2 linked regions of the Callithrix jacchus genome follow. Each later gene encodes a partner of the first gene's protein in a complex. Links are inferred from orthologs where the notes say so. Each region holds a gene or a part of one and is shown in the gene's direction. Other genes may lie near its edges.

Region 1 (3,801 bases):
GAGTGATCTGGTCTTACAAGCAGCCAGCCAGGTCCACGGAGGGAAGGTGAGAGGTGTGCGCAGGGAGCCCTTCCGTGCTGCTGACCATTTTACCCCGGTCGGGGCAGGGGGAGTCCTTCAGTGGCTGCTGACGGCTCTGTCTCCCTAGTCGGAAGGCGAGTGGCCGCCACCGGAGCAATGGTGCAGACAGCTCTTCTCCAGTGTGGTCCCCGTGCTGCTGGGGGACCCCGAGCAGGAGCCGGGTGGGCGGCAGCTCCTGGACCTCGACTGCTTTTTGTCCGACATCTCGGACACGCTCTTCACCATGACTCAGCCCGGCCCTTCACCCCTGCAGCTGCCGCCTGAGGATGGTGAGGATCTGGGAAGGGGCAGGGGAGGGGGTGAAGGCCTGTGAGATTCCAGGAGGCCAAGGGAGGAATGGCTGCGGGTTGGGGCGGGGACCCCGTTCCCCTCTGCCTGCTGCTGCTGATGTCGTCACTGCTGCCTGCAGCCTACGTCGGCAATGCTGACATGATCCAGCCGGACCTGACGCCACTGCAGCCAAGCCTGGATGACTTCATGGACGTCTCAGGTGGGGTGAGCCCCTCCCGGCCTTGGGTGAACAGGCAGGGTCCATGTCAGGAAGGCCGATGAGCCCATCGAAGGCCCCTCTGGGGGAGCTGATGGTCTGGGTGGTTTATTTTCTTTCTTTCTTTCTTTCTTTCTTTCTTTCTTTCTTTCTTTCTTTCTTACTTTTTCTTTCTTTTTCTTCTTCTTCCTTCTTCTTCCTTCTTCTTTCTCCTTCTTCCTCCTTCCTCCTCCCTCCTCCCTCCTTCCTCCTCCTCCTCCTCCTTCTTCTTCTTCTTTCTTCTTCCTTCTCTTCCTCCTCCTCCCTCCCTCCTCCCTCCTCCCTCCTCCCTCCTCCTCCTCCTCCTTCTTCTTCTTCTTCTTTCTTCTTCCTTCTTCTTCCTCCTCCTCCCTCCTCCCTCCTCCCTCCTCCCTCCTCCTTCTTCTTCTTCTTTCTTCTTCCTTCTTCTTCCTCCTCCTCCCTCCTCCTCCTCCTCCTCCTTCTTCTTTTCTTCTTCCTTCTTCTTCCTCCTCCTTCCTCCTCCCTCCTCCCTCCTCCCTCCTCCTCCTCCTCCTCCTTCTTCTTCTTCTTTCTTCTTCCTTCTTCTTCCCCCTCCTCCCTCCTCCCTCCTCCCTCCTCCCTCCTCCTCCTCCTTCTTCTTCTTCTTCTTTCTTCTTCCTTCTTCCTTCTTCTTCCTTCTTCCTTCTTCTTCCTTCTTCCCCCTCCTCCCTCCTCCCTCCTCCCTCCTCCCTCCTCCCTCCTCCCTCCTCCCTCCTCCCTCCTCCCTCCTCCCTCCTCCCTCCTCCCTCCTCCCTCCTCCTCCTCCTCCTCCTTCTTCTTCTTCTTTCTTCTTCCTTCTTCTTCCCCCTCCTCCCTCCTCCCTCCTCCCTCCTCCCTCCCCTCCTCCCTCCTCCCTCCTCCTCCTCCTCCTTCTTCTTCTTCTTCTTTCTTCTTCCTTCTTCCTTCTTCTTCCTTCTTCCTTCTTCTTCCTTCTTCCCCCTCCTCCCTCCTCCCTCCTCCCTCCTCCTCCTCCCTCCTCCCTCCTCCCTCCTCCCTCCTCCCTCCTCCCTCCTCCCTCCTCCCTCCTCCCTCCTCCCTCCTCCTCCTCCTCCTCCTCCTCCTCCTCCTTCTTCTTCTTCTTCTTCTTTTTGAGACAGGGTCTTACTCTCTCAGCTTGGAGTGCAGTGGTGCCATCTTGGCTCACAGCAACCTCTGCTTCCCCAGGCTTAAGTGGTCCTCCCACCTCAGCTTCCCAAGCAGCTGGGAATACAGGCAGGCACCACCACACCCAGCTAATTTTTTTTTTTTTTTTTAAGACAGGGTTTCACAATATTGGCCAGGCTGGTCTTGAACTCCTGACCTCAGGTGATCTGCCCACCTAGGCCTCCCAAAGTGCTGAGATTACAGGCGTGAGCCACCATGCCCGGCTTTTTGTGTGTGTATTTTTGGTAGAGACGGGGTTTCACCATGTTGCCCAGGCTAGTCTCAAACTCCTGAGCTCCAACGATCCTCCCGCCTTGGTCCCGCAAACTGCTGGGATTACAGGCGTGAATCACCGTGCCTGGCAGGTCTGGATGGTTTCTGAGGGATCTTCCTGGTCTCCTTTTGTCTAGTTGATGTGGCCTCCAATGAAGGCAGGAGCAGAGAGATTACCTGGACAGGGAACCAGGGGCTCCCAGGAAAGCAGTGAATGCTGGGACTCTCTCAGGGGAGAGAGGAACTTTGATTTATTTAGGTTTATTTATTATTCACACAACGCATTTTAAAACTATTTACTAGGCTGGGCAGGGTGGCTCATGCCTGTAATCCCAGTACTTCTGGTGGGGCCAAGTTGGGCAGGTCACCTGAGGTCAGGAGTTCGAGACCAGCCTGGCCAACATGGGGAAGCCCCATCTCTACTAAAAATACAAAAATTAGCCAGGCGTGGTGGCACACAGCTACTCGGGAGGCTGAGGTGGGAGAATCACTTGAACCCAGGAGGCAGAGGTTGCAGTGAGCTGAGATTGTGCCGCTGCATTCCAGCCTGGGTGACAGAGAAAGACTCCGTCTCAAAAAATAAAAATTAAAAATTAAACTATTTACTAGAGAACATTTCAAGCTCGCACACACTAGTAGAGAAAGCACAGTTCAGCAAACTCCCAAGTCACTGTCACTGGTTGACTTACCACTCTGGGCCAGTCTTCCTTAATCTAGACCACATTCCTTCTCTTCTCTTATATTTTATTTTATTTTTTGAGACAGGATCTGACTATGTTGCCCAGGCTGGAGTACAGTGGCACAGTCACAGCTCACTGCAGCCTCAACCTCTCAGGCTCAAGTGATCCTCCCACCTCAGCCTCCCAAGTAGCTGGGACCACGGGCACGTACCACTATGCCCGGCTAATTTTTTTTTTTTTTTTTTTTTTTTTTTGAAGAGACAGGGCCTCCCTATATTGCCCAGGCTGGTCTACAACTCCTGGTCTCAAGAGATCCTCCCACCTCAACCTTCCAAAGTGCTGGGTGTGTGCCACCATGCCCAGTCTATTATTTTAAAGAAAATTCCAGCCATTATATCTTGTAAGGCATTTTTTCTTTTTGAGATAGAGTCTCGCTCTGTTGCCCAGGCTGGAGTGCAGTGGCTTGATCTTAGCTCACTGCAGCCTCCGCCTTCTTGGTCAAGCGAGTCTCCTGCCTCAGCCTCCCGAGTCGCTGGGATTACAGGCCTGTGCCACCACACCCGGCTAATTTTTGTATTTTTAGTAGAGATGGGATCTTACCATGTTGGCCAGGCTGGTCTCGAACTCCTGACCTCAAGTGATTCACCTACCAGGGCCTCCCAAAATGCTGGGATTATGGGCATGAGCCACCACGCCTGGCCTAAAGCATTTTTTTTGTAAGTAGTGAATGTCCCTACCTCCCTCTCCTGACCCCAGAGCCACCAAGTTCCTGACTCCTCATGGTCCTGCCAGAGGTGCTCCTGTCGGTAAAAGCACATGTGGACAAATGCCTCTGTTTTCACAGTGGATCTCCCAGCTGGCCTTCATTTCACCATAGGTCTTGCAGACTATTCCCAATAGCCACATATTTAGGGGCTCCCAGAGCCATGTGCGGGCCAGGTAGATATCTGGGCTCAGCCTGTATCATCCAAGCCCCCCGGAGACAGAAAGAGGGTCCCTGGGATTAAGGCTTAGTCCTAGTGACCTCCTGCTGGGCGCAGTGGCTCACGCCTATAAACCCAGCACTTTGGGAGGCCGAGGCCACTGGATCACTTGAGA
Region 2 (4,509 bases), on another chromosome or scaffold:
TCTGAGTGCACAGTAAAGAATTTTAGCTAGAGCAGGACACGATTAGAATGGTATTTTTAAAGGATCACTCGGCAGTTGACAGGCAAGGCTGAGAGTAAAATGGTGAAGCAGAAGTCTGTCATTTAGCTAAGTAAGGGTAAAGGCGAGACAGCAAGGGCCTATTTACTTAGTTCTTCCTCCTACCCGACTGCAAACTCCAAAACAGCAGGGCCCCATCTGCCTTGTTCATTGCTGTGTCTCCAGCACTAAGCAAAAGCCCGTTTGACATTTGTTGAAAGAATAAAGAATTTGTTGAAAGAATAAAGAATAAATGAACAGGAGAATGCGAGAGGCATTTTGAAGTTCTGAGTTTAAAAATCAGGTGAGGTGGCTCATGCCTGTAATCCCGGCACTTTGGGAGGCTGAGGTGGGTAGATCACCTGAGGTCAGGAGTTTGAGACCAGCCTGGCCAACATGATGAAACCCTGTCTCTACTAAAAATACGAAAATTAGCCAGATGTGGTGGCATACACCTGTAATCTCAGCTACTCGGGAGGCTGAAGCAGGAGAATTGCTTGAACCTGAGAGGCAGAGATTGCAGTGAGTCAAGATTGTGACATTGTACTCCAGTCTGGGCGACAGACAGTCTCCGTTTCAAAAAAAAAAAAGGAAGAAAGAAAAAAACTACCTTGAGAGGAGTATAATGATAGACTATTAGTAATTGTGGAAGCAGTCATGGAGGGGAGGGGAGCAATGGAGGCCTGTTTCCTTCCTTGAACTTCCTCAAGGAGGGGGCATTTTAAAGAAGAAATTATGTACACAGACTTTCGTGTATTTTCTGAGACAGGTCTCACTCTGCTGCCCAGGTTGGAATGTAGTGACATGACCATAGATCACTGCAGGCTTCAACTCCTGGCGTCAAGCAATCCTACCACCTCAGCTTCCCAAAGTGCTGAGATTACAGGTGAGAGCCACCATGCTCGGCCCTACACAGGTTTTTAAAAAAGAACTTCGTGCGTCGGATGCCTGGCACTTCACGTGGCCTCTTCAATCTACCAAAGTAGGAAAAAGCACCCTGAAGAATAGAAAGGAGGATTAAGTGATCCTTGAGGGACGAGCAATTTCTGTTCTTCCCTGGGTCCAGTATTTCCAAAGAACACAGCAACAGGACTGACACTGGCCTTCGATCCGGTGAGGATTACTTTCAGGGTGGAGGGGGAACCGATGACCCTCGAGTCTACGGGCGTGTCCCTGGCGCGTTCCCAGCCTGAGCAGAAAGGGCAACCCCCACCCAAACCTCACTCCTAGTCCTCCTTGTTCCCACACAGCCCTAATCTTGACCACACCCAGCTCCGCCCTCTCTCCTCCCACCTCCTCTTTCCGCTCCCCCCGCCCCATTTCCTTCTTCTCCGCCCACCTTCTGCTGGGTCCCTCCCCCGGCCATGGGCCCTGCCCAGGCCGCCGCATCCCTGCCCTCCGCGTTTCTTCCTCCTCCCTTCCGTCAGCGCCCCTCCCGTGGGGCCGCGGCAACCCCGTGCCTCGCTTGCCCAATGAGAAGATGGCGCGGGGCGGGCCCCGGCCAGGGCCGGAGCGGAAGTGGTGGCCGGAGCGGAAGTGGAGCTGCCGCCACTGCCGCCGCGGATTCCCGAGCCTGGGTAGCTGCTGCCGCCGCCGCTGCAGCCACTGCAGGCAGCGCCACCGCCACCGCCACCGCCTGAGCAGTGGGCTTGGGAAGGAAGCGGTCACCTCGCTCGGAGCTTAGCTCGGAAGCGTCTTTGTCCCTTGCAGCCCTCCTACGGTGAGTGCGGCGCGGGGCCCGCCCATGGCCCCCGGGGGCCCAAACTCGAAGCCCCTCTCTGACTGCTGCGACGACGGCGGCCCAGCGGGTGGGCCCCGGGGTGTAGCGGCGCGCTGTCTCTTCGGCTCGGCGCGGCCGAGGGCTGCGAGGCCAGGCCTCGCAGCGGCCCCTCCCTGCTTCCGGGGCCGGGCTCTTTACCTCTTGGAGAGCTCGGGCCTCCCTCGCAGCCTGAGGTCCTGCCGGCCGGGTGGGGTGCAGCTCCGTACTGCGCCGGAAGAGACAGCGGAGCCGGGGATCCCGGATCCTCCCTCACTACCTGCTTCGGTTCCCACGCGACCCCTCCCTGCACCTTGGTAGGCGAGAACCGTCCCCTTCAGCCCTGTCACCCCTGCTCTGTGCTTTCCGGTTTCCAGAAATTAAAATTTAATCAAACGCGGGTGAATTTTTTCTAGCCCCAGTACCCCTGTTTGACTCCTCCTGGATGAGTAAGGGGTTTAACCTTGGGAAACAGCAAGGGGAAAACCCCCTCCCATTTTGGAGTAAAACCATTTCATCATCCTTCACTGGTTATGGAGCCTGGCAGGACCCAAGATTCTCTAGGAAGGGAATTGGGGTTTGACTCAAGAAAATGTATTTATTGGAGCCAGTTACTGAGTCCGGCCGGATTCCGAGGAAAAAATACCAGGGGATGAGAATCGGAGTATTTTCCCACGATATATACCGTCATTTAACGCCAGATTCTTTTGTTTCCTCACCCAGAATTCCCCCATATTGTGTGTTAGCACGTTTTTCGGTCTGAAATATGCCTGGTGGCTTCCTGGTCGGGGGAAAGGGGGTGAAGGGCGAGGGGAAAAAAGGGGTGGGAAGATGAGTGCATCTTTGCCGCAAATGGAGAAGCCCCATATAATGGGGTTTTCAAAGGTGGCAGCCTTGGTAATTAGTTTGCCAACCTTTCTGTGAAATGCACATCTATTGTCGCTGTCTTCGCTGCATTTCCCTTTGGTAAGGCTAGATAGCATCAGGTTCTGATTTTACTTGCCCTGTGTGGGAGATGGAATTTGGCAAGATGATGCTGTGAACATAATATCAGCTTGCCACGGGAGCCAAAACAGAAAGGTGAAGCACTTTAAGAATATGAAAATTGTCTGCATTTCTCTGTCAGTTCGTATGAAACCAGACAGATGCAGTTTATAGAACTGGACACTGTAGCTTTTGCATTTTCGTGTTGGAAATGTAAGTATTGGTTCTTAGTGAATTACTCTTGACTTCCAGTGTACCCTATTTCTTACTTAGGGATATCTCATTTGTTTGAGCCCTCATTTCTTGGATCGCCTTCCTTGGCGATGCATAGTGTGTGAGTGTATAAAACCTGTCAATCTTACTGGACCTAAGTTAGAAATTTAAGTGTGGCCCTCAAAATGGAAGGCTAATAATCCAGTAGCAACTGTGGAATTATTTTCTTAGCGTCTTCCTTCTATAAGGTAAGAAACCATTCACCCATCTTGCAGATGAAGTCTTTAGAGAAGTGAGGTGATTTGGCCTAGACCATACACCTAGTTTTTTTCAAATTGAATATCCTCATTCATCAGTAGCAAATATTTATGGATTGCCAGCCTCTGGAATATGAATCCTACCCTATAATCTTTTGTACATTTCCCATCTTACAGTGCTTGTTATATTGAAGCCATTTTAGAATTGGAGCACCATAGATCAGGGAGGCAGCCTCTATAAAACCAGGCTGAGCAAATTCCCATGATGTTGGTTCTCTAGGCAGAGTCTCCAAAGATTTGGGCCACAACAAAAAGTGCATTTTGCCCATTTGGCCGTGGATAGAGAAGCAGGAAGAGCACTGGACTTGGAGTCAGGTAAATTTGGTTGAAATCTTGCCTGCAGTATTTCCTAGCTTTCTGAAAATCTTCAGCATGTTAATCAATCTCTGGTTCGTAGTTTTCTTATCTCCAGGGTTGTCACTAAGACTTTTTTTTATAAACTGTAAATTGTTAAATATAAGCTTTTGGTTTTGTTGTTTTTTTAATCGGGGTTCACTTTTTTTTTTTTTTTTTTTTTTTTGAGACAGTTTTGCTCTTGTTGCCCAGGCTGGAATGCAATGGTGCGATCTTGGCTCACTGCAAACTCTGTCTCCTGGGGTCAAGTGATTCTCCTGTCTCAGCCTCCTGAGAGTACCTGGGATTACGGGCACATGCCACCACACCCAGCTAATTTTTGTATTTTTAGTAGGGACGAGGTTTTATCACATTGGCAAGGCTGGTCTCAAACTCCTGACTTCAGGTTATCCGTCCGCCTTGGCCTCCCAAAGTGCTGGAATTATAGGCGTGAGCCATCGCGCCTGGCCCAGAGTTCAGTATTAATGGCTTTTTCTCTCCAGTTAACATCTGATGAGACTAAACCCTACTTTGTACACATGTTGCTTTCAAAAACTGATATATTAATATAGGACTTTATTTTGCACATAGGAAAAATCTAGTCTTTCTGAATCATTTTCTCATCTGTATAGCGTAAATGGTAATGCAGCCTTTGATATATTTATGTTGTGACAAGCTCAATAATGAGAGTAAGCATCTGGGATACAGTTGGGGTTCAATAGATGTTATTTGACCATGTGTATGAATATACACGTGTATAGATTAGACATAGCATATATACTATTCATGGACATCTATATAGTATCCATCCATTTGTGATTTATTCACCAACTGATAAGATGGCATCAG

Evidence for each region.
Region 2: the proteins of MLXIPL (region 1) and YWHAB are in contact, whole or in part, in a crystal structure (PDB 6YGJ), measured with the Homo sapiens proteins. The link is inferred for Callithrix jacchus from reciprocal best matches to the Homo sapiens genes MLXIPL and YWHAB. Residues at the interface, in NP_116569.1 of Homo sapiens: Asp118, Ile120, Arg121, Asn124, Ala125, Trp127, Arg128, Ala129, Trp130, Tyr131, Ile132, Tyr134; in NP_003395.1 of Homo sapiens: Gly55, Arg58, Ser59, Trp61, Arg62, Ser65, Ser66, Gln69, Lys70, Arg129, Val178, Tyr181, Glu182, Asn185, Leu218, Gln221, Leu222, Asp225, Asn226, Leu229, Trp230.

What each region holds. Positions count from the first base shown.
Region 1 is NC_133503.1:10,080,108-10,083,908, forward strand, and holds part of MLXIPL (carbohydrate-responsive element-binding protein), read left to right. Parts: intron 1-148; coding exon 149-350; intron 351-490; coding exon 491-571; intron 572-3,801. UniProt on the Homo sapiens protein: Binds DNA as a heterodimer with MLX/TCFL4 and activates transcription. Binds to the canonical E box sequence 5'-CACGTG-3'. Plays a role in transcriptional activation of glycolytic target genes. Involved in glucose-responsive gene regulation.
Region 2 is NC_133506.1:40,243,624-40,248,132, forward strand, and holds the start of YWHAB (14-3-3 protein beta/alpha), read left to right. Parts: upstream 1-1,577; 5' UTR 1,578-1,777; intron 1,778-3,547; 5' UTR 3,548-3,642; intron 3,643-4,509. UniProt on the Homo sapiens protein: Adapter protein implicated in the regulation of a large spectrum of both general and specialized signaling pathways. Binds to a large number of partners, usually by recognition of a phosphoserine or phosphothreonine motif.